Oreochromis niloticus: one gene and its partners. The protein of the gene in region 1 binds, or shares a complex with, the protein of each later gene. Links are inferred from orthologs where the notes say so. Each region holds a gene or a part of one and is shown in the gene's direction. Other genes may lie near its edges.

Evidence for each region.
Region 2: uri1 (region 1) and polr2eb share a complex: the UniProt entries of both Homo sapiens proteins name them as parts of the PAQosome complex. The link is inferred for Oreochromis niloticus from reciprocal best matches to the Homo sapiens genes URI1 and POLR2E.
Region 3: uri1 (region 1) and asdurf share a complex: the UniProt entries of both Homo sapiens proteins name them as parts of the PAQosome complex. The link is inferred for Oreochromis niloticus from reciprocal best matches to the Homo sapiens genes URI1 and ASDURF.
Region 4: uri1 (region 1) and dnaaf10 share a complex: the UniProt entries of both Homo sapiens proteins name them as parts of the PAQosome complex. The link is inferred for Oreochromis niloticus from reciprocal best matches to the Homo sapiens genes URI1 and DNAAF10.

What each region holds. Positions count from the first base shown.
Region 1 is NC_031972.2:60,922,633-60,930,148, reverse strand, and holds the start of uri1 (unconventional prefoldin RPB5 interactor 1), read left to right. Parts: upstream 1-4,513; 5' UTR 4,514-4,841; coding exon 4,842-4,913; intron 4,914-4,961; exon of another isoform or gene 4,962-4,991; coding exon of another isoform or gene 4,992-5,039; intron 5,040-5,235; exon of another isoform or gene 5,236-5,403; coding exon of another isoform or gene 5,404-5,466; intron 5,467-5,600; coding exon 5,601-5,635; intron 5,636-7,516. Other genes in the region: zgc:112052 (protein C19orf12 homolog), read right to left, coding at 1,250-1,515, 1,673-1,832. UniProt on the Homo sapiens protein: Involved in gene transcription regulation. Acts as a transcriptional repressor in concert with the corepressor UXT to regulate androgen receptor (AR) transcription.
Region 2 is NC_031986.2:39,882,831-39,890,543, forward strand, and holds the start of polr2eb (DNA-directed RNA polymerases I, II, and III subunit RPABC1), read left to right. Parts: upstream 1-4,691; coding exon 4,692-4,865; intron 4,866-5,149; coding exon of another isoform or gene 5,150-5,242; exon of another isoform or gene 5,243-5,302; intron 5,303-7,713. UniProt on the Homo sapiens protein: DNA-dependent RNA polymerase catalyzes the transcription of DNA into RNA using the four ribonucleoside triphosphates as substrates.
Region 3 is NC_031987.2:6,963,838-6,969,873, reverse strand, and holds asdurf (ASDURF protein), read left to right. Parts: upstream 1-3,824; 5' UTR 3,825-3,956; coding exon 3,957-4,031; intron 4,032-4,224; coding exon 4,225-4,278; intron 4,279-4,442; coding exon 4,443-4,518; intron 4,519-5,416; coding exon 5,417-5,457; 3' UTR 5,458-5,475; downstream 5,476-6,036. Other genes in the region: asnsd1 (asparagine synthetase domain-containing protein 1), read left to right, coding at 5,476-6,036.
Region 4 is NC_031978.2:9,086,796-9,094,585, reverse strand, and holds the start of dnaaf10 (dynein axonemal assembly factor 10), read left to right. Parts: upstream 1-4,780; 5' UTR 4,781-4,867; coding exon 4,868-5,053; intron 5,054-6,144; coding exon 6,145-6,245; intron 6,246-6,497; coding exon 6,498-6,628; intron 6,629-6,751; coding exon 6,752-6,853; intron 6,854-7,790. Other genes in the region: RNA-binding protein PNO1, read right to left, coding at 1,278-1,345, 1,957-2,027, 2,539-2,656, 2,796-2,856, 3,183-3,266, 3,380-3,526, 4,296-4,493. UniProt on the Homo sapiens protein: Key assembly factor specifically required for the stability of axonemal dynein heavy chains in cytoplasm.

The sequences.
Region 1 (7,516 bases):
GAATCTTATAAAGAACTTAATCTACTTACACAAACCATTTTTCACCACTTTATTATTGGGCCAATGACACAACAGTAGAAAAGCAAAGACAAATAGACCAGAATTAAGTTTTTATCAGAAATGACTAAAGCAGGAATGAAACCATGTAAAATACAGAACCAAAACACCCACAACAGGTGTATAACACTATATTTAAAAATACATATGCTTAAAAAATAACTTGATACACCAGTGTGAATTTTAACCTGTACATACATTTAATTATCTGACAGCCAACTCTCTTATTAACGATGTCTGGAGGCACTTTCTTAAAGGCTATTCTTCATTCAGGCTGATAAAAGGTTAATGGAGAAGGTATATGTCTATACAATAGAGCAGAATCACAATAAAATGGAAGTTAAATGGATGTCTTTTTGAACACTTGAACCATTACTCCACATGCTATATGCACTTATTCACACATTCTATAGTCTATGTGTCTTATGCCTTCGGGCACTTTCATGTGAATAATAAGCACGCACACACCACACTCACACAAATGCTCATGGATGCACTAAGAGCAGCTTAGGGTTCAGTATCTTGCCCAAAGACCCTTCAACATACAGACTGGAAGAGCTAGGATAAAATCACAGACCTTCAGATTACTAGAATCCTATGCCAACCCCAGCATGCTAGCTTAAGTGTGTTAGTACTAAGTTTAATAAAAGACAGAGCTACAATGTTAATGCCCAGATGGATTCGATGCCAAGGAATGAAGACTGCTATGCCAAATGCCAAGTCCACACTGGTTTTATTTTTTATTCAAAGTGTACAATACGCTGTATACAGTTGCTGGCAAATCTGCTAAAATGTAAAAAGGCTGGTAATTGATGTAATTATATCAAATCTTTATATTACACAGAAGAATTTTGGCTTAGTCAGTTCACAATCCTTCTTATGTAAATAAGATGGTAGACTGGACAAAAACAGAGTAAATGCACAACTCCATGAAACCCAAAATTCACTATGACTTAAAGCCAGACTTGATGATCGGTGCAGTTAAAGACAGAATAAATGATACAATAAATAAGTAATAATTGCACTTATCAAAATAAATTACCCAGCCATACAGGTGTTTTCATCGACATATTTAACATTTATATCATACAGAATTTAATTAAGAATCTTTTAAGTGTCAAAAAGCAGTTCACACTCATCAGAGAACATCCTCCTCTGCAATCAGGCTTCTGTGTCACAATATTGAAAGCGACTAATCAACATAGTGCACCTCTGCCTGGAGCTCCTTGGTGATGTATCCAAGAAGAGCAGCCGTAAGCTGCTGCTTCAGAGTTGCGTTGCCCATGACTAGAGCAATCAGCTGAGCCAAATCAGTCCACTGAATGTCTCCCAGGATTTCCATGAGATCATCATAAAGCTTCTGCTTTTCCTGAGGGCTGAGCTCCATTATGATCTGTGGAAGTGGTTTGAATTGACCACTGGTCAGCCAGCAGCCCAGAAGGCCTCCAGCAGCCCCTCCTACAGAAGATCAAAATTTCAAACTTTTGAGATAAAGCAATAATGCTGATCACTCCAAAATAAACAGCTTAATTCCAATACATCAGCATTTATGATGAATCTATATGATTAGAAATGGTTCCTAAAGATAGAGGAACTGTTGCATTGTTCCACTCACCTACAGCTATGCCGAGAGGACCCCCAACCAATCCTCCAGCAAAGGCCAGCGCCCCAGCTGCTGCTGCTCCTTTCCCAGAACCTTTTACTGTGGTCTTAACTTGCTGATTGGCGGACAACTCACAACACAGCTTCATAACATCATCCATTCGTGGAGACATACTGTGGATTAGATTTGCGATTCATAAAACAATTGCACAATTTAGACAATTTTATTCAACATTTCAGCAACACAGGCCCATAAAAGTTGAAAGGATTTGAAATTGTGTTTTTATTTAGAAGTGTTCCCTCATAATTTATTAAATACTTTCAGTTTCACAAGATTGAGTACAGCAGCAACATTGCCAACATTTCAGCAGGTTATAATTGAAAAGTAAATTCAAAATTAAATAAATGAACAAAATACCAACACAGCTTAACTCATCTTAAATTCCACACATTACTTGGTAAACTTTAACAATAAAACATTTAACATTTTAAATAGCTAAAATAAGAAACTTCAGACGTAATTAAATCAGTTCTCAATGAAAAAATAACATTAAGCTTAAAAATAAAACAGAACAAAGTTAAAGGTAAATATGAGACAATGAGTAGAAGTGATATAAATAGGTTAAAAAAAATCAATGACCGGTATCTCGAAAAGCTAGGTTACAAAGGTCTTTGTTTTTAAAATGCTTTGCCTTTATGTACACTCCAGGTATGCTGACGTAAACGGTCATACTTTTACCGAGCATGCGCCCTCGGATTGACTCGTGAACGCATCATTTTTATTTCTCTGTTAATAAGAATTTGACACTTCTACTAAAATCAAAACTATGTTTACTGTCAGCTGTTGTACGCACTGATTTTTATAATTATATGCAGAGTGTTTTTAATTACAGTTAAATTCAACCATGACACCAGAGACTCTCGTCACAATAAATGGTTAAATAAACCATAATTACACATTGAAGTTTAGGAATAATAAAGTCATTAACAACTCAAACGGACGGTTTGGGCTGTTGATAATTAATACATTTTGGTGAGTGTTCTTGTGTTATGACACTTCTGGCTTAATGCAAGTTAAACTGATAGTATTATCTATCCATACAGCCGCAATTTAATCACCGTGAGCCCTTATCTCACTTCAACTGATGCTGAATTTGGCGACCTTTACTAAAAACAGTTTTTGAAAAAAACAAACAATTAACATTATGAATATTCTTCCCGCATGCTTTCGTATTGTTAAGGCGATCAAGCAATCAAAAGCTTCATAACAGACTGCGCAGCTCTGTCATTTCTACAAAACTCTGTCAATTCAAATTAAAGCCATAGCTGCTTCACCATCCACAGTAACCGCTTGGAACATACCTTGCTGTCTATTCAAATCCTTATCGACATTTACTGGTCCTGGTTTTACTATGTCATTCTCATTATTTGTTCAGCTCGGCCAGGCTCCGCATGCACCTCATGATATATGAAGCTTGCTGTATGACTCTTGTCGCAATGCCTGATGGGAATGGCTAGGAAGTTGCATTCAAGTCCAAAAACTACAAACGTGTAAACCACATTCAGTTGAATTAAAATAGAGTGTTCAGCCTAAATTCCAATACAAGTTTCAGCAATGTATAATATTTTTAGACTAGCCTAAATTAGTATTGTTATATTTTTCTTACAAATTGTACATTTTAACAGCGTGTGAGTTTATAAATATAGCATATATGGCATCAAGCCATTATAACGTATTCTTAACTTAAATACGTTAAAATATCATTGGACAGTTGAAAATAGTCTTTGATTTTCAGGCCAAATAATCTGTGTTCACTGTGCTTTAAAGGGTAAACTCTGAATTATTAGCCATTCTTTTTTTGTCCCTTGTGTACACCTTGTTTATAACTGGTGTTTCTCATATTTCCAACAGCAATTAAAAGCAACAAAAACAGACTATTTAATGCCTGCCACACAGGAAGATTGGGAGCTTGGGGATAAATTATATTGTTGTTATCATATTAAACCAAACTCACTCAACTGCCGTGTTTGATTCACTCGTTACTTCTGATACTTTTATAGGGTTTTATGTGATGTGTGTTTAAATAATATCTGTAAATTTTCGTGCAGCATCGGGAATGTGAACATGGGGAGGTTTGCACCTGCTGCTAGTTAAATAGTGCCTGAATGTGCAAATCTGATGTGCTTGTCACTTTGTTTTTATATGCAGGTGGAACAACATTACCTCGCTTTAGATTGTTTACATCTGTGCAGACGTTCATATTTACCCAGAGTACACTGGGAGGAAGAACTGCATCAAGCTCGCTTCATTTGAAACCAAAACGGAAAATGTAATGTTTGAGATTGATAATAAAAGCATTAAATGTGAAAGGAAAGAGATGCATTAAAAGCTAAAACTTTTGAAGTACTCGTGGAGTCATGGTAAAAATAAAGTACACACTTTTTAAATGTAATCATTTGTAGTCACAGGATGTGTGCGCCTTGCAATTATTAAGTCTGTCGAACTCAAGGTGTTGCAGTGGCCCAGTCGACCTCCACACCTTAACCTTCCATACGCAAGCTGAATTACTTCTTGTGTGAATCCAACACTGACTGATTTTTTAGCCTTACGAAAAACCTGCTGATGTGAAACTGGGAGGATGGGCTTGAGAGTAGAAAGAAGCCACAACAAGGTGTGCACTTTGTTGTGACTGTAATTTTACCAGATTTATTCCTATTCACTTCTGTCCACCAAAAGTATAATTGTTTTAGTTTGTTTTTCTTTAATTTTACGTTTTGTATTTGTTGTTGTTGTTGTTAATGCTAAACCAAGTATACAACCGAAGTTTTTTATTTTGAAAGTTCAGACCGGATACCACCCTGGAATAACGGTTGAGTTCTTGGAGTTGGACGGAGGTGCATGGCGCAGCGAGAGTGACAAGGAGTATTGGCTAATCTTCGGATATTCAGACTGTGGATATTTTTGGAAATCATGCAGAAATTCTGAAATGAGAGTGTGAGATGATATCACTTCCGAAAGTGTGGATAACTATCACTGCCCCATTGATGAATACGAGCAGAACGGGTCTCAGGAATAGCTGCTGCTGCATTCATAAACACTTCTTTAGGACTCACAACAGCCCTTGAGCTTTGTTTTGGGGTCACGAAACACCAGAAATTTCTTTTGTGCAAGTGGGTTGACAATGGCTGAAAAGGGTCAAGTGGATGTAGAACACCTCGGCGGAGTTATCAGGCTCCGAGAGGAGCACGAAAAGGTAATATCACCAGTTGTCGCGAAACGTTTTGCTGGCTAGTATGCAACGTTAGCCAAGCCACCGTCTGCCACTGGCCACATGGTGCACCGGGAAAGGTCTTGGAACCACTTGCTGGGACTTGCTGAAGTACCTTTTACAGCAGATATAGACATTTGTGCCATTATTGTTTCACAGGTTACACGAAGAGTGTTTGTTGTTTTGACTTTCAGTTTTCGAGAAGCTTCCTCCTCCTGCAGACACTCACATGTTCAAGTTTAAATGTTGTAGGAGGGCGTGCTCAGCTAGGTTCGTTTCTTGGCATTAAAAAAAAAAGAATTTCATACCAGTGCTGTTTGCTTCTTTACTTTGGGAAGTAAATTTCACCTAGACACAAAAACACTGTGTTTTTATTTCAGTTTTTTTGCTTCATTTTTAAATGTATTAATTTTTTGACAGCCGTGTTTGTCTCGTCCTACTTCCTCGGAGTTGCTGACCTACTTCCCTGTGTGTGATGACTTTCAAACTATTATTACATATAAATTCGTGCCTCTGGGCAGTTGTGTCTGCAGCCGGGGTAAAGTAAAAGCCTCGGTGAAATGAATGTTTTATCACAGATGCTTTAAATGTTTAGATTTTCCACCTGAAGACTGTGTAAGTTGCGTAGATTTATCAGCTTGATTCTTACTAAAATTATTTGTCCTGAAACAGGTGGTGAAAGACTGTGAAAGTCGGATTCAACACTGGTAAGCATGAAAGCACCAATGAACTTGAGCACAAAGTTGGTTGTTTTTAAAATATGCTTGCATTAACTGAGTACACTGTGTAGGTTCTTCATGTTCTAATATTCCTTCAGTGTAGTTTGGAAGTTTACTATATCAGGTTTAGACATCCCCATTTTTTTGCCCTATTTTGCACAAACACGCTGTTATAACCAAAATTTGATTCCTTTAGGGTCATAAATATGTTCTAAATTGACAGAAAACATCAGTTGCTTATCAAGTTTGTGCACACCCACACGGTGATATTCTTTTATTTCCTAATGAAGTGTTTGACCTTTGCTCAGGTTCCAGCAGGCCCCATTTCACAGCACAGATTTTTGACTTTTTATTGTAGGTGTTACTGTTAGTGTTGTCAACAACCCTGGAGTATTTAACAATAAACAGTGCCTGTGATGCAAAACAGCAGGTTAGTGACATGGAAGCACCTTAACAGAATTTGGTTAATAAATAGAACAAAGTATTATCAGAGAAGTAACATGTCAGGGAGGGTGGGTCCATCTCATTTCTCTTACTTGATACTCGTCAGTCCTTGCTTGCTATGACCTGTGGGTCTTCAAGGACAGACTTCACTCTGATGTGAAATCAACAAATTTAGATGTATTTGTTTAGCACAAATTGTGTTGCAACAGCACAGCTGATTAAAAGAAAACTGGCTTATTTTATTAAATGTGCACGTGCAAGTAGTTTACAAAAGGGAAACATGCAGAGATGCCGTATATGGACAAAAATACTGGGCCACTTACACATTACACCTACGGGAGCTGCTCAGCCATAGAAACCTGTGCCATGAAGCTCCGAACGCACAGCTTTTGTGCTGATCTTAATGCCAGAGGAGGTCTGTAGCTGCTGAGTCGGCAGAGTGATGACGACTTTTGTCTACTATGCGCTTCATTACTCAGTGACCTCACTCTGAAACTTTACATAGTCTGCCACTTCCTGAATGGTTCCCGAAATACTTTTACTCTATCTAGTAGGAAATAAATTTAATGACAGTACCACGCTTGAATTCAGTGAAGTCTTTGGAAAGACCCGTTCTTTCACAAATGTTTGTAAATGGATGTTTAGGTGATGGATTTTAAGTACTTGAATTCAAAGATTTAAAGGTGTGACCCAATATTTAAGTGTATATAGTATATTTCACACTGCCATTTGTCGTATTTGAGGAAGTTACTACTTTGTTTCAGTGGCAGTAGTCTGTTTTTGTGCCTTGTTATACTACAGGCATTGTAAGCAGACATAGATTAGCAGAGCTGCTAACAAAAAAAAGATGCTAAAAGTATTGACGCATTTAAGGGAATTGACATGTGGTGTATGCACAGAGAGACATTAAGAGATAGTAGAGCTCTTAAGAGACAGATAAAAACACCTGTGTGAGTGGACCATGACTGTGTAGGGGCTTCACTACAGGGTAGATTTGCTACGGTAAATGCATTTCCATTGATTCTAAGCAGGGGGTGTTAGCATCAGTGTTTTAAGTATTATTGATTAAAATAAGAAAAGTGCATGTAGGTTTTGTGTTATTACATTTATTTTGCATTATGTGTAAAATGAAAGAGAGTACTTATCAGTAAAAGGGTGATAAAACATTTTCTTTATAACAGATGTGTAAACATTGTCCTGTAAGTCTCGACAGACTCACACAGGTGATTTCATTTCCACTAACTAGGGCTTTTAAAGACTATATGGGCGTGCAGAGTGTGATAAATATCTACCTCATGCTCCTATTAGCATTCACGGACCTGACGTGAGATAAATCCCTGTTTTGTTATTATTGATACTAGGGCTGCTCGATTATGGCAAAAATGATAATCACGATTATTTTCACTGAAATTGAGATCTCGATTA
Region 2 (7,713 bases), on another chromosome or scaffold:
TGCGATGCAGGTTGATGAACAGACCGTCACTGGTCTGGGATAGACCCAAACTATATCCACCGGTGCTTGGAGAGGCAGAGAAATGTGGGAAAAAAGAGTATTGGAAACGCAAAATCAAGTGGATGCAAGTAAGCACGGTTTCAGGCATCTCTTAGAGGTTTAAAGGTATTTGGGAAGATCCTTCTCCACCACCTGGAAAGAAAGCGAGAGTTGCATGGACTTCAGTTGCATGTCTATACACAGGGGTGATAAAATTACACGTACTATAAACATCTCTTGTTGTTTCTGAAAGCACAGCAGAGCTCATCACGGGGTGAGCAGTAATCACACAGACACATGAGCAATGAACATCTGACAGAACAACCAGGTTTTGTACGTACACTTGGATCATCCAAGGGTCCATATCTCTTCACCACCTGACCCTCTCTATTGATCAAAAACTAAACACAAAAAAAATATAAATGAATAATTATAACATATTTTTGCATATAAAAGCTTGTTCCATTAATTGTTGCATACTCTCCATCATTATCCTTTATTCTTCATACTGTTTTTCAAATAATCAGAGTTTTATATTTTATAATATTTTAGCCCTGTTGACATAAAAATGTTTTAAAAATAAACCGTAATAAAAACGTACCTTAGTGAAATTCCACTTGATGCTACTACAGAAATAAACACAAAAAATGTGTTAGAAAACTAATAATCGCTCTCATTCAGTCAGCATTGGAATAAAAATGCTGTTAATCAATAACTGATTTAAATGATATGACCGATTCTTGTTCAAATTCAGTTGTACACGTTTTAAACAGATAACTGTATGCATTACGTCTGATCCAAACAAGCTTTTAAGATACTTTGTGACCATATGACTGTGACCCAGATTCATTCATTCACAACTTACTTCCCAAACAAGCCCTTTCCGTTAGGCTGTTCCTTCAGCCACTTCCACAGAGGATGAGCGTTTTGGCCATTCACCTCGATCTTGCTGAACATATCAAACCGAGCGCTGAACGTGTCTGCAAACTGCTTGATTTGAGTTTCATTGCCCGGCTCCTAAAAGTAAATAGTATTAAAAGTATTGAAGTCTCTAACTGCTCTCAGTGACCTGCATATGACAAATTAAATATACTGGGCACCAAATGTCATGCCTAGTTTCTTTCAAAACAAGCCATCATTCAGACTAGTAGTGAGAAGATTGCCAAATTATCCATTTCAATGTTAATGCAACTACAATTTATGCCTATGATTAAACTCTTAATGAAATTATGAATGCTTTAGATATTTAAAAAAAACATTTCAGAAGACCTTATACAAAAAACTATAAAGGTTTCACACTGCCTAACATTTCACTTACACAGTTTTCATATTTTATTTTCTCTAAATTTTTTCAAAACTGTGTACAAATCTATTCTCACCGACATCCATCAAGCCTTCCAGTCATGTTCCTATTTATACTCTAAAGATTTTTCAGAGGGGTAATTTAAAAAAAATGTTTTTTTTCTGTAAAACTTTTAAAAAGTTATTGTCCATCTGTTAAAAATGTATTGATTTATGGCACAATAAACAGTAAAAGCATCTGTAAAAACCTTAACATGTATCACATTTGTGTTCTGGAGAAGTACAAGTCCATAAAGTCTCCATATTTAAAGAGATAACACCTAATTTGCATAAAACATAATTTAATTTTATTTAATTTTATTTATTTATTTAGGACAGTGCATGTTAATGAACATAAATGTAAAAAAAAAAAAATTACATGAATGTAGACATGCCAGATTATAGCCAAGGGCTAATTTCCATCTGTTGTAAAAAGCACAGCAATATAAAAACTAACTTTAATCAGTCATCTGGGGACATTTTTTTTAAATTACCCATTCACTTGCAGTGCCTCTCATTATTATAATTCGTTTTTCCATTTATATTTGGTTTTAGTGTTTATAAAAACACTATCTTCTCCATCTTGAGAGCTTGAAAAAACAAGACAACTGAACTTCTTTAAGTTTGTGAGGACGGTTCCCCTCTCATCCAAGAGGCTTCTTCAGGTCTAAAAACAAGACCTGGAGTCCCCTAATGGGGGCTGTCATTATTGGAGATGGTTCTGAGGGTTTTGACCCCCTATTGATCATGTTAGTCGTTACATGAGCCACGGTGTAAATAAAGGTGCAGGCCATTACCATCACTGGGGGTTAAGGGTGAAACCCCATGAGGGGTAAATATCTGGGACTTTCCACCATTTGTTTTTAGACCTGAAGAAACCTCTTGGGTGAGAGGTGAAACGTCTTTACAGATCTCCAGTTATCCATGACCTGGATAACTGATAACTTACACAAACAAATCTCAGTAAATGTTGCAATAAAAAAAACAACTTATGTTTTACATACCTGGTTCCCAAACTGGTTGGAAGGGAAGGCAAGGATGCTTAAACCTCTCTCAGCGTACTTGGCGTGCAACTGAGTAAACTGAGAGTAGTTTACTGGGGTTTTACCTCATTTAGAGGCAACATTGGTGATGATGACAACATTCCCCCTAAATACACACACACACATGCACACACATTTTATTAGTGATAAGAGGTTTATAATTGTAATAGGAGGTTTTAACAAAATGACAGAGAAATTTACCTGTATTTTTCAAGGGAAACCACGTTGCCATCGATATCCGTTGCTGAAAAGTTATAAATGGATGTTGCCCTCTGCCATTCCTCTAATGGGGTAGACTGTTTTAGAAGGAATAAAAACAAAACAATAAGTAGTTAGAACACCGTGTTATTTCCAAAACTCAACAGCCTATCAGATGTGAAGAATTCATTTTAAAAAGAAAATGTAATGAAAATACAAAAAAAAGCAATACAACATGAAAATAAACATAAATCTATGGAGAGCAAAAGCAAAAGCAAAGGTTAGCCCTCAAAGGCAAAAGTAATGTTTCAGTCCTAATCCCGTTGTTTCTTACCATGGCCGGCAGCAGGACAGAGAGGAGCACTGTGCACCCTATCAGGCGCATGGCTGCCCTAGTTACCTCCTCTGTCTCTAAAAGTATCACCGCTGAACTTCTGTCCCTGTACTGAGAGTACTCATGTTCTACAGTGCTTTTGTAAAGGGAAACCAGGTGATCATTAACTAAACTGATAGGCTGTGATTGTCCAGTACCTCCCTCTGTGCTGCTGATTCAGTAAAGCCAGATCAGAAAAGCACATGTGCTGCAGTCCACAGTTCACAACTTAGTCCGTGTAGAGCAAAGAGCAACGGTCGGAAGAAAAACCAAAGCTCATTATGCATTGTGTTTAGTATCTGAGTGAAAAACTGGTGATTTGCAGCAGATATAAACTTCTACATTACCCTAACAAGACTGCATTTCTCTCGTTCTATTGTAATGAGAAAAAACACATTTTAAAATTTTAAATTTACATCAATCAGCTTTAAGATTATTACATTTTTTCACATTTTGAATGGAAGATGTGAGGACGAATCAGAGCCAGAAGCTTCAATCACACCTGCTTTTTATCTCAGTACGCAAAGAGTATCAAAAATATACATTTTACAAAATAAATAACAGTAACAGTGATTTGTTTAGTAAAACCTATTGAATAACAGTTGCTGAGTTTTACCTGTTTACGTGTGTAGCACAGGTTGCTTTGAGTCACTGTGCAGATGTTACACAATCTCTTTATATTCTAGTGTGAAATTAGAAACCAAGTTTTATGGAGAATTATTTTGTGCATCAATAATCTCTCAATATTTTGTAATATAATATAACTGCCAGTACTGTTAATCCAAAGCAATTAAACAACTAATGTGGCTATTTTGAAATAAAAGGGTTGAAAACCGTTATCTTGCCTGTTTTGTAAGGGTCCAATGGTCCATGAGCCATTACAAAACGGCTATGCGAGCTAAGCGTACAGACCTTTGACAAAAATATTCCAAAGAAATGAGTTTGGCAGACAACCTTCTTTTCTTTGTTCTGATATTTTCACATTTGCTTTAGGCTTACACAAGATTATGGTTTAAATGCACCCATTCAACAATGCTAACCATGTCATTACATGAGAGCCTACTTTTTCCCACCACAAAGTTTATAAGCGAACTTGAAACTTTATGCAGGGAAAAAAAATCATTCTACCAAATAATCATAATCTCAGACAACAAGAGCAGAATTGTTACAAAACTGGTGATTATGTTTTGTGAGCTGGAGTAGAAGAGCTAAGCAGAACATTGCGCCACAAAATAAGAGATGAGGCAACATTTTGCTCTGATTTTCAGTAGTAAAGATTATTTTGTCCAGGCAAGTGTGCAGGAAATCCAGATCTTGATCAAATTTAAACTACAGTGTTTCATTTAAGAAATAGTGTGTAGTCATAAAGTTTTACTTTTTGTCAGTTTGGACTGTTGAGGCTTGGGTGCATTTCTTTATTACAACTCAGGAGGTCTACATGATCTGTAATTGTAATTCCTCTTTTAACTTTTCTAAATCTTGCCCTGATAAAGAGTAAAACGCCAAATCCAATGTGGAAGCTAACTCATAATTACACTGAAAACAGAAAATAACAACAGACAAATAAAATGTAATAATAATAATAATAAGAAAATGAACTCTGTTCTTTCTCCACTTTTTATCCACCACTAATATAAACTGATGCTGAAAGCAAACTTTTATTCTTTAATCATAAAACATCAGTTACAATAAAAAACATGGCCGGGTGTTGTGTCCATCCAGACGTGCCTCTCTGTCTGTCCCTGATGATAAGCCTATCAGCTGACACCAGCAGCCAGAAGGGGAGCACAAACATCCGGTGTCACAAACAGCACTTATATGTAATGTATTTTTTTCTTTTTGTTTTTCCACCCTCCAAATTCAGTAAAAAGGTATGTGTCTAACTGTGTGGGGAAAAAGCAGAGGGAGGGAAGGATTTGCGAACTTTGTGGGCGTCCGTCCGTGTCACGTGTGTTAATCAAAGCCCACCACAAACACGCAGAGCATCTTAGGTAACAGCCATCGTTGTTTACGTGAAAAATGGATTAACGATATTATTACAGCAGTAAAAAAAAAAAAAAAAAAAAAACCATGTTAGATGAAATTGTGTTACACGCAGTACAAATCACAGACGTCACTAAAACGCATGCAGATTAAATGGTTGAGTTTACGTTACCGTTGTGGTTAGTATAAAGTACAACACCATCGCCAGTACTGCCACAGAGCTCGCTACAGCCCCAGTTGCCAAAATAACATAAAATGGCCTCATTTTGTTTTAAAATGAGGTCAAATTTACCACCGTGAACCTCAGCTGCAGACTCCGCCCTGCAGCGTGTTGTGAAACAGCGGAGGGCGGTGGCCTCAGAGACCAGAGGAGGGAGACGGGACAATATTATTGTGTGGATGCTTTAAGGCATCCACACTATAGTGTTCCTGTTTCTCTTTATTCTTTATTATGTGTGCCTATGCCAAGAGGCACACATATTACTATTCCTCGGATTTATTATTCTTATTATTATTATTATTATTATTTTCCTTTTTCCGCCTGAAATTTTGCAGTGTATCTCGACCCGCAGTTTTCAGACAAGCTTCATATATGTTACCTCATTTTGTGCGGCTGGATCTGGAATGGTGTGCTATGACTTTTGGTGTTTATGAATATTATAGTTTTTTAAATATTAATATTTTAGTGAAAATTTTCCCGCGCTCCTCTGCCAAACAGTTTTGACAATAGGGGTACATATGTTACATCATTTTGTGCGGCTGGAGCTGGGCTAGTATGGTGTGACTTTTGGTCTTTATAACTTTTATAGTTTTTGAAATATTTAGATTTTAGTGCAAATTTAGGCCAATTTCTAGGCTCCTGAGAAAGATTCTGCTTTTGGCACCATAGAAACAGACTTCATTTGTGGTGTGTTGGCTCTCTCTAGTGGTATACCGGGAGTAGTACGGCCTAAAGGGTGCCATGCTTGGTGAAAACTACATATCCCACAATTCATAGCATGCCTCTACCGAGTCAAACAATGGCGGACACCACTTCGTTTTATATGTCTTTTATTCGTGTTTCTAGGTCACAAAATACACTTTTAAGATATTTTCAGGCGAGAATGTAGGTGTGTAAACTTCAAATATCTGCTCGTTTTATCAAGACATCCCATATTAGCGACAATTCCCTTAAGTGTTGCTGATAGCCGGCTAGCTAGCTAGCGCCGCTAGCTTAGCTAGCTAGCGCCCCTTCGTGAAAAACCACCCAGGCTTGGGTGATAGTGAGGTGGCTAAAATTTGTTTAATCGCCCGATCGCTCGGCAAGGGTCTGTGTCTTAGCTGGACTTATTTTTCGTTTATATGGGCCGATGATGCTGGTCGATGTGGAAAAAATAACTGAGTTGTTTGGTGGTGGAGCTACAACAGAGGGCAGCTATCCACCGGTGTGTGACAGAAAGGACATGCCGCGAACGAGACATACAAGGCGGTGAGGCTACCGCGGATCGACCGCTGTTTGCTAACGCGGAGGTCAATCGTGGATGAGGAAAAGCGAAGGCAGGAGCGTGAGGTGAACTGAATTTCAGGTAAGAAGTTATGACCTGCACTCTATTTGGGTCAGATATAAACCGAGTTTAGGTGTAGTTTATTTAGCAACAGTTCTCTTACGTGTTGCTGATAGCTGGCTGGCTAGCTAGCTAGCGCCGCTAGCTTAGCGCGGCTAGCGACCCTTCGTGAAAAACCACCCAGGCTTGGCTGATAGTGAGGTGGCTAAAATTTGTTTAATCGCCCGATCGCTCGGCAAGGGTCTGTGTCTTAGCTGGACTTATTTTCGTTTATATGGGCCGATGATGCTGGTCGATGTGGAAAAAATAACTGAGTTGTTTGGTGGTGGAGCTACAACAGAGGGCAGCTATCCACCGGTGTGTGACAGAAAAGACATGCCGCGAACGAGACATACAAGGCGGTGAGGCTACCGCCGATCGACCGGTGTTTGCTAACGCGGAGGTCAATCGTGGATGAGGGAAAGCGAAGGCAGGAGCGTGAGGTGAACTGAATTTCAGGTAAGAAGTTATGACCTGCACTCTATTTGGGTCAGATATAAACCGAGTTTAGGTGTAGTTTATTTTCGTTGTGCTGACTTTTTCAATCACTTACAATAACTCGTACTGCGTGCTAGCTAGCACTACGGAGTTTGTATACAGCTGTGTGCGGGCTAAGTTACCGATGTTACCGATGTTGAACTTTATGACAGCCTCCCCTGTCATTCTCTCGCCTGTTGAAACTTCAGTCATGAAACTGATCAATGATCGGCTTTTCTCTCTTGTTTGTTTATCGCGCTAAACAACAGCAGCACGTTTAAGCTTGATCAGCTGTTGTTAGAATTCTTTTGATTTTAATTTCTAGTATCAGCTGATGTTTGCTGGAGCATGAAGATGAAATCAGGAGATGTCCTTACTGAATCATCAGAGCTGAACTGGTGATGGAGAAACAGGTTTACCCTTAGGTGACATGAATGAGTTGAAGGGAAGTTATGAACTGTTTCTGACAGACAAATATACACCAAGCTCCTTTTTTTGTGTAGCTGACAGCTGGTAACTGTGCAGGGGCGGATCTAGCAAAGCTTTTGCCAGGGGGCCAGGTAGGGCATTAACAGAGAAAGGTGGACACAAAGATATACTTTTCTTTCTTACTCTCATATAAAATATTTAGCTTTTATTAAATAGTTATCTGAATCTTACAACCAAAGTTTGTATA
Region 3 (6,036 bases), on another chromosome or scaffold:
GTTATGATCCAATGTTCTGCTGGGACACCTGACTCCCGGCTTTCATTTAGATATTACTTAGACAAGCACTGTCCACCTAAAATGTGTTGCAGACTAACTCTGCACTTGTATGGAAATAGTACCCGCTGCGAGTCTGTGGTCTCCTCCCACAGGACAATGTGTACTCCTGCACCTTAAAACAACTCGAGGAACATAACAAAGATGTCGTACCTACATGTGGCTCTTTTGTCCTTATACTGCGGCTCCGGGTGGTTTGGGAAAATAAATTAGAAGTTTTTAGCTGAAGTGTATTTTATTTGTGTTTAAATAAAGGTCTAAATTGGAAGATTATTGTGATATTGAAATATAAAAATAAAATTATATTTTATTATTTTTCATCGCTCAAAATAAGCGTCACACTCGCGGAAGCCGGTATACCCGCCGAAACGCCGTGCATTTATCGAGACTTTCAACCCCAGGTAGGCCAATTATGGATCTTCGGATCCACATTATGTCAGCAGCTATTCTCCACCGTGAACTATGTTAAAAACAAACACCGCTCACACCTCACAGACGACAGCTTAGTTCTGCTTAAAGATGAAAGTGACTTCGTACAGCCCCGATTTGCAGACGCTGTGCGCAGAGGTTCAGGAGCAGAAGTTCCATTGTAAACATACTACGGCAAACCCGCTGCTTTTCAGCATCTCTTTATTGACCACTTTTCACACACGGTTGCTGTACGCATACAGCCGGCTGCAGCTTTTCAGCTCACAGCCCGACAACACAAGAGCAGAGAGCACAGACTTTAAGGCTGCGAGGCGTGATTGCGGGTGCAGCTCAGGTGCGTCCGACTCCCATGCAGCGGCACTGCAGACCACGCCCCGCCACACACATTAACCAGATAAAATGCATATTTAGGCAGAATTTTGCAAATATCTATTTTTCATTTTTTAGCAGCATAGTGCTTTTTTTCCAATTATTTTTTAAAAGTCAGGTCAAGGCTCCAAAAGCCCAAAGGTGGTATAAGGGAGGCGGCTCACAACAGTTTTTGTTTGCTACATGGATCATTTTAGTTCAGCTGGGTGTCCTTCCTTTTGTTAAATTTCTTTAAGAGTTCAAAATGTGTTAATTACATAAATAAAATGTAATTTTCTCTGTAGCACTTCATGGATTTCATAAGGAACACACTTAAGCTGTTCACACAAAGCATAAAGGTAAAAAAAACAATATATACAGTGTTATCTTCATTTTAGATGTCAAAACGTATTTGCGGCTCCCAGTGTTTTCTTTTGCGTGGAAACCGGGTCCAAATGGCTCTTTGGGTGTTAAAGGTTGCAGACCCCTGAGATAGACCAAAACTGTTTTTTGTAGCAGGTTGTAAACTTGTTTATTTCTGCTGTAGAGTTGGGAGTCTATGCGACTTGACTAATTTGTTGAGGAAGTCTCAAGTGGCCACTAGAGGAACTACAGTTTTTGGCCCCAGAGCACCACCCAGCATTCCAGAAGACCCAAAGGGGATCCCCCTGAAGATGCCACCCCCCGGGAGGTCCTGTGTTTAAGAATACTTTGGTGGTTTTAATGTTGAGTTTTACCATGATAACTGGTAATTACTAACAAATCCACTAATTTACAGACACAAAGAGAATCAGTGCAGCTTCTTTTAGCCCAGGTTCCTTCCAGTGGAATAATCCAGCCCTAAATTTAACTCTTAATGTGTGATCCAAGCAGGTTGGAGGTTGGGTTATTTTAGGACGAAGCTCTGTGAATGCACATGAAAACAAATGCAGTGCATATGCACTCTGTGCTGTCTCATTGCATGAGGGAGCAAAACTGACAGCGACAGGTAACATAAGCACGTATTTTGAGCCAGGTGATGACAATAGGCGCTTCAGTTCCTTTGTGATCTTTTTCAGAGCGCTCAACCGTCTCAAAGCCTGCACACACTGAGCCGCTACAAACAGATTACCAGCTCCACTATTAGTGGGCCGCTGTGTCAGGTAGCTGTCATCAGCGGTCAGGCGGCTGCTCTGTCATTTTGTGGCCATGTGACCTGCAGGTACGTCTGTTCCTGAAGGGATTCCGGGATGTGCAACAACAAGCTCTGTTTACATCGGCTAAATTTGTACTCCCTGGATAAAAATATGAGGATGACCTGCCTCTTGTGGCCCAAAGTTGTCTCACATTTACCAGCCGCAGCTAAAGAAGGGATCCAGGTGCAAGATGGGAAATCTCTTATTCATCTATTCTTTATGCTTCTCCTCTTTTTTGTGCTCTGTTGCAATGAAGGTATTAAAGAACAGCTCAGTCATATTTCAATAAAGTCTGATAAAATCCGAATACCCGAGGCCTGGCTCTTGAGGTCTCAAGGTCACAACACCTGATACAGAAAGATGACCAACCATCTGAGTGACCAAAGAAACAATGGTCGTAATCACCGTTTTGGGAGCACAACAGGGCTGTGGTCAGTTTAGTTTTTGTGGATATAAGGCCAAAGAGTTTTATATGTGCCTGACAACTCCACCACAGAACAATAAACATCAAAGGTCACAGTCTGGCCGGCTGTGACAGCCTGCGGCCGCCGTTCCTAAAATGACAGCCCTCGCTTTCAGGGAATGAGACTGCAAACATCTGACAGCTGTTTCCGATCAATAAGGCATTGCAGCTGAGTGGGCAGTGAACCAACGTGAGGCTTCAGGCAGGTGTGTTTGTCAAGTTTAAAAGGTGCTTGACCAGCTGCAGGAGCAAGAAATCAGCACTGGTGTCACTGAGGGGGTTTCGTTTTTATCAGCAGTGGAGTTATGCATGAGCTCAGACTGTTACAGCAGCTTTTCACTGCTCTAAGGAAGATCGGCCCACTGCTTTGGTTTGATTTCAGATTGCACTGGAGACTCCTAATGGCTTTGATGGTCCATAACGACAGTAATAAATATTTGGCCCAAATGTCATTAGGATGAGTCTAGCTACCCCAGCAGAGCCACAGGTTCACCTTTATAGACCGAATGTCAGGTGTGCTGTGGCATCGAGCCCACCCGACATCTGCAGTAACCCAGAGCTTGTGATGTGTGATCTGCATATTTGGTAACTGAAGATGTCCAGATTAGACCCAAGTGTGTCTGCTGTGTGGGGCAGGTTGACATCTGTGGTTCTAATTGAGAGAAAAGTGACAGTCATACCTAGACCTCACTTTCCCCGGGCACATTCTCCAGCTTTTTTAGGGGGGTCTAAGCCTGCTGAGAGACATCATCGCTCCTTCATGACCTATTGAAGGGTTTCCTACCAGTAAAAAAAATGCCTAAAACACCTCACCTGGGAGGAATCCAGGAGGCATCCTGGACATACATCACCTGAACCACCTCAGTAGGCTCCAAATAAGGCTGACTTTGATAAAAGTCTAATGAAATGAACATCGATAGACAGCCATGTTTAAGTGAATAAAAGGACTTTGGCTTATTTTGAAACTCTGACTGGTCTTGGTGCACATTAAAATAATGTTAATTGGATAATGCTTCACGTTAAGTCCCCAAATAAATGCCAGGAGTTTCAGGCTGACTACCTTTGGTGGTTGAAGAAAGTCTTGGAAGCTTGTGGTGACCCATTGATGTATATGGTGCATCCAAGTGCATTGTGGGATGGCAAACATGGCATGAAGAAACATATAAAAAACATAAATAAATAAAAGAAGGAATCATATCATATTTAACTGGTTTGCTCTGGTAAAAAAAAAAAAAGAAAAGAAAAAGTTAAAAAAAAAATAGACCATGTACAAATTAATATCTGTATTTTTTGATACAGATGAATGATACAGTTGAATGGCTGTATTACCGCCCACCAGCAGGAGGCAGTAGAGTTCAAACTGTGTAAACCTTCAGCACCCGGAAAAGCTTCCTTCTGGTTAGACACATGAGTTTACTCTGAACCGGGTTCGATTTTATTAGTAAAATCTCTGGACAGTTTTTCCTACGTTTCTTCGCACTATCATGTCTTCAAAAGGCTGCAGCAGTGACGAGCAGTTTGAAGGACAGGCCGCAGTAAAAGAAGAGCTGAACAAGAAGGTAGCGTTAGCCCAAACATGCTAATATGGCTAATGTGGCTGTAACAGACCACAGGATGTCTCCCAAATACATAGGTTTTTGGTTATTTTCGTTATGTATAATTATTCTGCCGCTTCTGTTAGCTTTATGTGTCTTAACAGATTCAGATAGTGTAGTTTTTATCGGTGAAACTTTCCGTGTTGCCAATTTACAGATTAAAGAGCAGAAGGTGCTTGTGGACGAGCTCTGCAATCTGAAGAAAAACAGGGTGAGTGGAGGAAGTGGAAAAGTCTCAAAATTTATTAGATCACATCATTATCTGTGCAGTTATGATGGGAAACACGCAAATCACATCCCTATGTTGTCAGGCTGGTGCAGTCATGTGTTTTGAGAGTGTAAATGTGGGTTAATGCAGATTGTTTCCCCCCTCAGAAAGTCTACATCCAGCAGAGGAACAGTAACATCTTCTTCGTAGGAGACAGAAGTCAGACACTCACTTCCTGCAAAAGTAAGATGAGAGAAGTGTCTCTGGTTGAGAGGTGAAAACTTCCGTGTTGGAAGTAAAGATGAACAAAAATTCTAAAAAAATTTTTTAACTGAGAGTTTTTTTTCTGAAAAATGTGATACATCATGTGACAAACAGGGTAGATTCCAGATTAAGATGCAAAAAACAGATTTATCCCGCTTTGTTTATTTTTTAACATCCATCCATCCATCCATCCAATCGTTTTCTGCTGCTATCCAGGATAGTGGGAGACTGGGGGCAGTAATCTAAGCAGAGAAGGCCAGACCTCCCTTCCCTAAAGACCTCCACTTGCTAATTTGGAAGAAGACCAAGGTGTTTCCAGGCCAGCTGAGAGATGTGATCTCTCCAGTTTGTCCTGTATCTATCCCAGGGCTTCCTCTTATAAGGACATGCCCAGAACATCTCGTCCAGTCCAGAGTTGTTCTGATCAAAACTCCATTAGATTTTCAAGAATATGTCGATCAAACTTCAGGCGTCGTTATCAAGACAAGCTAAAGATTGAAAAGTCACCGGCATCACTGTGGGGGTGTTTCTGAGCCGCATTGTTTATTTTAGGTTTATGCATCAGAAACTGCTCAATAAAGGACTTTATTCAGACGTAGGTTTGAGAAATATTTGCAGTGAGGTAAAAACAAACACTGGAAATGTTGGAAAGTCTTGTTACTCTTGGTTGTGTCAGTGCCCGGCTGTTTTTCTGTTCTGTCTTTGCCGGCTTTTCCTGTATTTACTCATTTTGAATTTGATGCCAGTGAAGTTGGGAACGGGGTCCCCGTTTTTAAAAAAAAAAAAATTAAACACTCAGCAGCGTGTTTTATGCTATAATAGGACTGTAGTGAAGGCTCTTATGGCTTATGTAACTAGTGCATTGTTCTGTTTGCAGAGGAGCTCGATTATATGAAAAAGGAACTTCAGGATATCTGAGGCCACAGCAACGCCGCGATGTGTGGGATCTTCTGTGCGCTGAGTCTGGCGTCCGCTCACTCTCAGTGGAACCAAAGAGTTTATGAACATTTAAAAAGGAGAGGGCCCAATTCGAGCCGGGACCTCACCATCACAGACTCAGATCTCAGCTATCGCTGTTTATTCTCTGCTCACGTTCTTCACATGAGAGGTCTTCTCACTGCTCAGCCGCTTCAAGACAACGCTGGAAACATCCTGCTGTGGAATGGAGAGATTTTCAGTGGCCTGCCGGTGACGCCAGAGGAGAACGACACCGCGGTTGTAGCTCAGCGGCTATCATCCTGCAATGCCCCTTCAGAGATTCTCGCTGTCCTGTCTGCTATTCGTGGACCTTGGGGGTTTGTTTACTACCAGAAGGCAGGAGACTACCTGTGGTTTGGCCGAGATTTCTTTGGTAGGCGGAGCTTATTATGGACATTTGACGCAGAGGCCGGTGAACTGACTCTAACTTCTGTGGCTGCTCACACTTCTGGTCCCAAACAGTGCGTGTGGCAGGAAGTCCCGGTAGCTGGTGTGTTCAGGGTTAACCTCAAGGCGGCA
Region 4 (7,790 bases), on another chromosome or scaffold:
GAGTGTGCAATGGGTAGACTGTAAATTGTAGTTTTTTGTTTTGTTCTTTGAACGTGTACATTTCAAAAGTTGGCTTCTTCTCCCACTTCTTTTTTTCTGTCACAATCAATTCATTTTCTCACCTTCCAACCTACTAACAGGGAGAAACAACATAACTTCAGCCAGATTTTTATTTTCTAGGGAAAATGCTTCCTACTGCAAACAGCATTGGGATAGCTTTTTGTTTTGCTTTTGGAGGTCAACTGCTGGTTTGAACAACAGTTTTCAGTCAAGAGATGTGCATCTGGAGTGCTCTATTTTTCCCCTATCCCAAAGCTCTGCACGGCTTGGGCCTCCCTGTGCTTGCATGACATGGAAGTATATTTTTTGTTGTGCATGTAGATCAATTTTTTGAAATAATCCTCTTGTTTACACATGGATGGTGATGTTAATATATTTAAGAATTTAATGGTATACAATATGGATGTTGCCAAACTTTGGTAAATGTACACATATTATGAGAGGTAATCCAACTGAACTGAACTACATGTAACTTTTTGTATTTTACCCGGGTCAGCGAGATGCTTCGATTCCAGTAAAAGTTGCATATCTGATCCTGTCTCAAACTGCCACACACTGTACTCAGCTTAAAGGGGAAAATTTGATGTTTTTTTTTTTTTTTTTTTCCTTTTGTATATAAGTATTTGTTAAATGCAGTTCTGGCTCTCTGTTCTCTGTATAGTTCAGACCGCGCTTTAGTTTGTAAGTGCTACTTTTCTCTGAGGGACTTGGGTTCTTTTTAGTTTGTGTGGGGATATGAGAAGATTTAAGTTTGAGAACTTTTTTTTTTTTCCTTTTTCTGCATGCTGCATCTTATGCTGTGGGACTGTTGGAAACTTGATACTGTATGAAAAATAAAATTTAAATAAACTTTGAAATGTTGAAAGTATTCTATTTGACTGTCCTTTTTTTTTAAAATTTTAAACCTGACCAAGATGTGACTGACTAGACTTGTATCTTCATTCACCAGGAAAGAAGAGTACACACATGCTTCGTTTAGTTTTTTTTAAACACATTTGCACAAACACATACTTTCAGATTCTCTTAATGCACGTATCATAATTTTATTAATCATATTTGATACCAGCTGATCCAGAAACCATGAGATCATTACAGAAGAACCCAAGGTATCAGTCCAAAGGGCAGTGACGGTCTCAACTCAACACAGATCCCACATAGGAATTCCACCAGCCAATAGGGGAAGATAAATACATATGGTAACCAATCATGGTTCAGGTTTAGAATCTCTCTGCAGTCCTGCTAGCCACCACTCTGATGTTGCCATAGACCTTTGAAGGTGGACTTCCTGTAGGGGCAAAAGGGATTTAAAGGTCACTTCTCAGCATTAATGTGTAAACAAAGAGTTCAATTCCAAATATGGTTAGTGCTAGATTCGATGGATTTGCTGTCAGGTGACTGATGCTCTCAACACTGGAAAAGGCTGCACAGCAGTTAAATAGGTCAGTTCTGGACTTGGCTAAACTGTTTGTTCAATGTTTTAGGGTTGTTTTCTTTAAGCTGACTGTCAGCTTATAAAAAAAAAAAGTAAGAAATTAGATTTTTGCACTCCTTACGGAAAACAGTGTTACAACAGGTCTTTTTAAACATTCCATGGTTTCATCCCAATGCTTGATTGCCGAGCCTCTTTTGATTTAGGCACTTTTACTGCTGCATTTAAATATATATCAGATCAAAACTGAAATCTATAAAATAAGAATTCACAGGGGAGTCTTATAATCTAAATTTCAATGTTTAAATGAGTACCTCAAAGTGAATAAATATCACCATTAGTACTTGTACTTCTCAGGGAGTAACGGTATTTGAGACAGACTGTCCACCCAGCTCATCCAATAAAGCACCACCTCAATAGCATCAACCACATGATATACTGTGCTATAAAAACAATGCTCGTCTTACCTAAGATTAAGTTGCATATCGCTGTCCGGGCCATCTTGATATTCTGGAAAGATCCTAATACGTGAACTTTTCTGTAGACAGACAAAGCAGAGTGTTAGCCGTTTCAGTGAAAAATGAATAACAGGCACATAACTAGAAAACATACTGCAGGTATGGATGTATGCAAAAGGTTGTGTATATTGTCTTTAGAGTACCCACACAAACTTCTGCGTGAGAGGGTAAAATATAATTTGTGTGAGGAAAAACTGTTAGTAAGTAATATATTATGATAGTATGTTTATGCACTTATTGACAAAACAAATCGGGCCAGTTTATTTTATTTTTTTAAGTTTAATTACAAAGAAGTAAAGCTCTTCTTTACAGAGTTTCTTTGCAAGATCTGTATTGGAGTTCAATATTTATCATGACTAAAACAATGCAAGAGAAAAAAAACCAATCAAAATGTTTGATTAATGCTGCAGTGAAACTGTGTCAACTTCAAAAAGGTGGTTAAGGAAAATTAATAAGGGATTAATAAGCAAATGATGTGGAAAAATAATTAGTAATTTTACTGTAACATGTCAAAATACTGGATTTACTCACGTGTCTGCAAGCACAATGCGAGTCTTTGTGACGTTTTCAATGGTGAATTTGGTTTTTCCTCCCTTCCCTGCTATTCTTCCAATAGCTCTGGATAAGTGGTCTCCCTTCAGAGGTTTCACTGCCAAAACATGGGAGAACAATTAAATGGATCTCGAGAGGTTGAACATTGTATTCTTCACGCAGCAGGGAAAGAGAACTGGTAAGAAATTATGACGACTCTAACAGCAGCCACAAGTGCTACGGAGGTGGAAACTCACCGTCTGTGACATCAAAGCTTTCAAGGAAGAGCTCATCTAATCTAATGAGAGCCAGAGCATCCTGAGGGGAGAGAGTGTGAATGTTACATCACGAGTGACAATCCAGCAAGGCTCAAAATTAACAATCAAATACTGTCACAGCTTCTAAAGATAATTTACACATTTAGACAAAGCAAAAACAACTACAAGTCACTTTATGGAGGCTACTGACAGGGAGGAAACTTTTATTGTATTAATAGTAGATTATATAACAACACTGAGCTGAAGTAAGTGTCAGTCAAGTGTCTCTAATACTGTCCCAAAACTTGACTTTTGGCTTGACAAATACACATTCAGTACAAAAGCAGTCAGGCAGAATTAAAACATGCAGAAAACTCATGTACTTACTTCAACCTGAAATCCGAGAACAAACGCTTTAACAAAATCAGCCGCTCTTTGGAGTGAGGTGATGTCCTGTGTTTCTTTACATGTCTGAAAGAAAGAAGGCATATTAGTTATATCAGAGATGAAATACTGTATATAAGCATTGTAATAAATAGGCTCAGTCAACTCACCAGAGTCTACATGAAATGGGAGAAACCTACCTTGATTTCAACATTCCTTGTTTTGAGGTTGAATCTAACTTGAAGTTGTAGGTTCTCTACAATGGGAGTGAAAATCTTCAGCCAGTTATCTTTCAGCGGTGTGTATCTGTGAGCTGGAACTGGGATTTTGCGCATCTCATCTGATCCCTTAGAAAACAAACAAACAAATACACAGAACATTTCTGATCATACGGTGTAATGTTAGCAAAACTATTCTATGACATTTGGTTAGGATTTATCAGAAAACATCTTTGCTTTGTAACCCGAAGTCAAAGCAATGCTGTAACGAATGTAACATGTTTACAATTGTTTAATGTGGTGATTCTTTTTTTCCGCTTAACTGTCTGATCTTTAAATCATCAGGAAACAGTGAAAAAAATTGTCATCATAACAGAAACCACTAATCCACAACAGAAGGAGAAAGAGAGATTGCTGAGTACATATAAACAGCAACCCCGGGTTTCTATTGTGCCTGACGGTGCATTTAATTACTGAAACATTCATATGCACTCTTAATTTCAAAGTTTCTAATTAATCCTCGGAGTACTGGACTGATATTAACCACGAGTCATTTATGCGTTTTGTTTTCCTAACTGTATTTTTACTTTAGTAGCCAGTGCTTTAAACAGTCAGAGTACTGTGTAGTGAAATCATAAGTATTATAATAATAGTCACGACCTACACACAGTATTTGTTGTGTATTTGAATATTCTACTTGGGCAACCACACTACCACAACAGCAGCTTTATTTAATGTATTCACATGACTACACCGCGCGTGCGCATAATAGTTAATGGTTCGGTCGGGGAAGCTACTTTGTAAACATTACAAATAACATTAAATGTACACTTATTGGTATTTATTTGACAAAACCGAGAGAATACACAGAGTCTATATATACTCATGGTGTAGTTACCCGTAATTTGTCTCCTGAAATGGGCGGAAACTGCGGTCGTTTGCTTGCCACGGGCTCCTCTGTGTCCATGCTCGCTCCATCTTGTTCACGTTTTCGCTTCTGAGACTTTTTCGACTTAACCTTTGTGAAAGAATCGGCGTCATCTTTGCTCTCCTGGGGTGCTACAGCGTCCGGGACTGGGTTTTTGTCGTTGTCCATCTCGAAAAATGTTTTTAAAATCAGACTTTGAGTAGAAACCTAAGCAGACTGTGAACGGAGACGCGTGAGCATGTCCTCGTGGGACGAAAAGGACCCAAACAGCCACATCAACGACGCCTGTAGATTGGGAGGTAACAAAATTATATTATTATAACTATCTAGGATGTCTCTAGTTGTCTTTAGAATTGAATGCAGGCTGTTTATATATTTTTTCATATAATTTTTGTACCAAAATACATAAATATTTTATTGAAAGATACACATTTTGTCAGGCATCTGTTAAGGCAGCCGCTTGCTCAGCTGTACCTAGTTTGTTTTGGGAGAGAGCGACAGTTGTCTACTTTTTCACGCCGATACCAGTGTTTCTCAGAAAAATGTCATCGCCGCTGTCGAAGCCTCAGATTATTACGCATATTCAGAAGAGTTTGAACTATACGGTTTTTGACAGTAAATGGATTCCCTGCAGCGCGAAGTTTGTCTGTCTGGGAAACTTTCCTAGTGGAACCGGAGTGATTCAAATATATGAAGTTCACCAAGGCGAGGCTCAGCTCATAAAGGAGGTACATTAACGTTCTACTCTTGTGGGCCGTTGTTCCTTTCTTTTCTCTCAGAGATTTCATACAAACGGCGTACAGAGCTAGCTAGCCCGTCGAAGATTTCTAGAAAAGTCTGGCAAGGATGTTTCCATGACAACAATTTGAAGGCAGCCAGTGCCCGTTCAATATTGTTCTACTGTAGATTATCCTAGGGTTGGCATACTTTATCCAGATTATACTTAAAAAGCAAATACTACAGCATCACTTGCAACGAGTAAAATATTGCTATGCTGCCACCAATGTATCGTACTACAAACAAAACTTACTGTTGTAGTTTTGCACCATGGCATGTGTGCCAGGCATCAAGATACAGATAAAGGAGAGCAAACGTAACAAAACGTGCATAAACATGATTCTTTTATACTTATCTTGCCTGTTTGTTTCAAATGTAGGTAGGTCATTTTGCTGCTAAAGCTTGAACCAAGAGTGCCTGCATGAGACGGTGCTGTGAAAAAGTATTTGCCCTCTTCCCAATTTCTTATGTTCTTGCATATTCGTCACGCATGTTTCAAATGATCAAGCAAATGTTAGTGTAAGACAAGAACGTCTTAGTTAAGGTCAGTGTTCATGATTCAATGATAAGAAAGAGAATCGGTAAAAATGGCATCTATGGGAGAGTTCCGTAGTGAAAACCAAAATGAACACAAAGGGCCATCTCACATTAGGTAAAAAACAAAAACAACAAATTGATGTTCCCCATTATTCTGTGAACTGACAAAGCGAAGTTGAACTTTCTGGGAGGTTTGAATCATGTTACATCTGGCGTAATACTAACACACCATTTCATAAGAGAACATCATACCAAACAATCAAACATGGTGGTGTGATGGTCTGAGGCTGTTTTGCTGCTTTTGGCCTGGACGACTTGAATTAAAAGATTCAACCAGAAAATCCTAAAGGAGAATGCCTGACTGTCAGTTTATGCCCTGAAGCTCAAGCTCACTTGGATCATGAAAATACATTTTCACTGCACTCCTTCCACATTGCTTTTCCATTATATGTTGAATTGTCCCATTCACGAAACTAAACAAACTCTTACCTCTGATATGTTTCAGGTAGAGAAACCTAAAGCTATAAAGTGTGGAACATTTGGGGCCACGTCTCTTCAGCAAAGACACATAGCAACGGGGGATTTTGATGGAAATCTCAATATATGGTATTGTATACACCAATTATCAGTGTTGTGCCTGTAATAAGAAGAATCAAACTGGGAAAGCAAGGCTTAAATTCTATTTTTAACCAAAAAACATTTCTTATGTTTACTGTAGATCTTATATTCAACGCTGGTTCAGTCCCAAAGACAGTTATAATTCGAATGGAATTAAAAAAAATGTAAAGGAAATGATATTTTAAAAATACGTTACGTCGACATTAGACTTATTCAGTACTGATGTCCTGTGGTTCACAGGAATCTAGAGACCCCGGATGTGCCCGTATATGCTGTAAAGGCCCACAAAGAGATAGTGAATAGTATTGATGGTGTTGGTGGTCTGGGGATTGGTGATGGTGCGCCTGAGATCGTCACCGGAAGCAGAGATGGTAAGAGCATTTAAAAAAACAAACAAAAAAAAACTAGATTGTAATTACTTTTCAGTGCAATGATAGTGGGAAAGTAAAGTACATGAAAATAAGACTAGATCCTACATGATTGTCTTTTAATAGGTACAGTAAAAGTGTGGGATCCGAGACAGAAGGATTCCCCTGTAGCCAACATGGAGCCAATGGAAGGAGAAACCAAGAGGGACTGCTGGACTGTTGCTTTTGGTTTGTAAAATATTCTTCAGAAACTAAGTTGATAGTGCTGGTGCTTCACCTACTTCCATGGTGTGCAGAAAAGAACATGAAGTCTGAAGAGGTTTAGGCTCCTGCAATAGTTGTGGTAGTATAAAGGACACTGTTACAGCTTGTGGCCCTTAACAGGGTCCTCACAGAACATTATTTTCTTAAGGGCTGAAGTACCAACATCCACAAGTAAAGTTTAAAAACATGGTCTCCACATTATCTGTATCCACAGGGACAGGAATGTAATGCATTTGTTTGATAGTGATAAGAACTAATACAGTCATGGGTTATATTAATACTAAGAAGCAGTAAAAAGATACTTATCATATATTCTATTGTGTGCAATTTCAGGGATTTCTTTATACCTAGTAAAGGGGATTATTTCTCTGAATTTCAAACAGCAGAACACAGCCCAAATGCTAGCTAGTCCCTTGGTCAAAGGTACAATGTAAGCAGAGAACATTCAAACTCCAGAGAGAAGCACCCTGTTCTGGGTCAGGCAAAGGACACTCTTGCTGTGAAGCAACAATGCTAACCTATCAGCCACCATAAATAAAGCTGCTGTAATGCACTGCATATAACTGATAAGACATGACAAACAAGGCACGGTGGTTAGCACTGTTGCCGCACAGCAAGAAGGTCCTGAGTTCAATTCCACCATCAGGCCGGGGTCTTTCTGTGTGGAGTTTGCATGTTCTCCCCGTGTTTGCGTGGGTTCCCTCCGGGTACTCTGGCTTCCTCCCACTGTCCAAAGACATGCAGCTTGTGGGGATAGGTTAATTGAATAATCCAAATTGCCACTAGGTGTGAATGTGTGAGTGTGAATGGTTGTTTGTCCCTGTATGTTGGCCCTGCGACAGACTGGCGACCTGTCCAGGGTGTACCCCGCCTCTCGCCCTATGACAGCTGGGATAGGCTC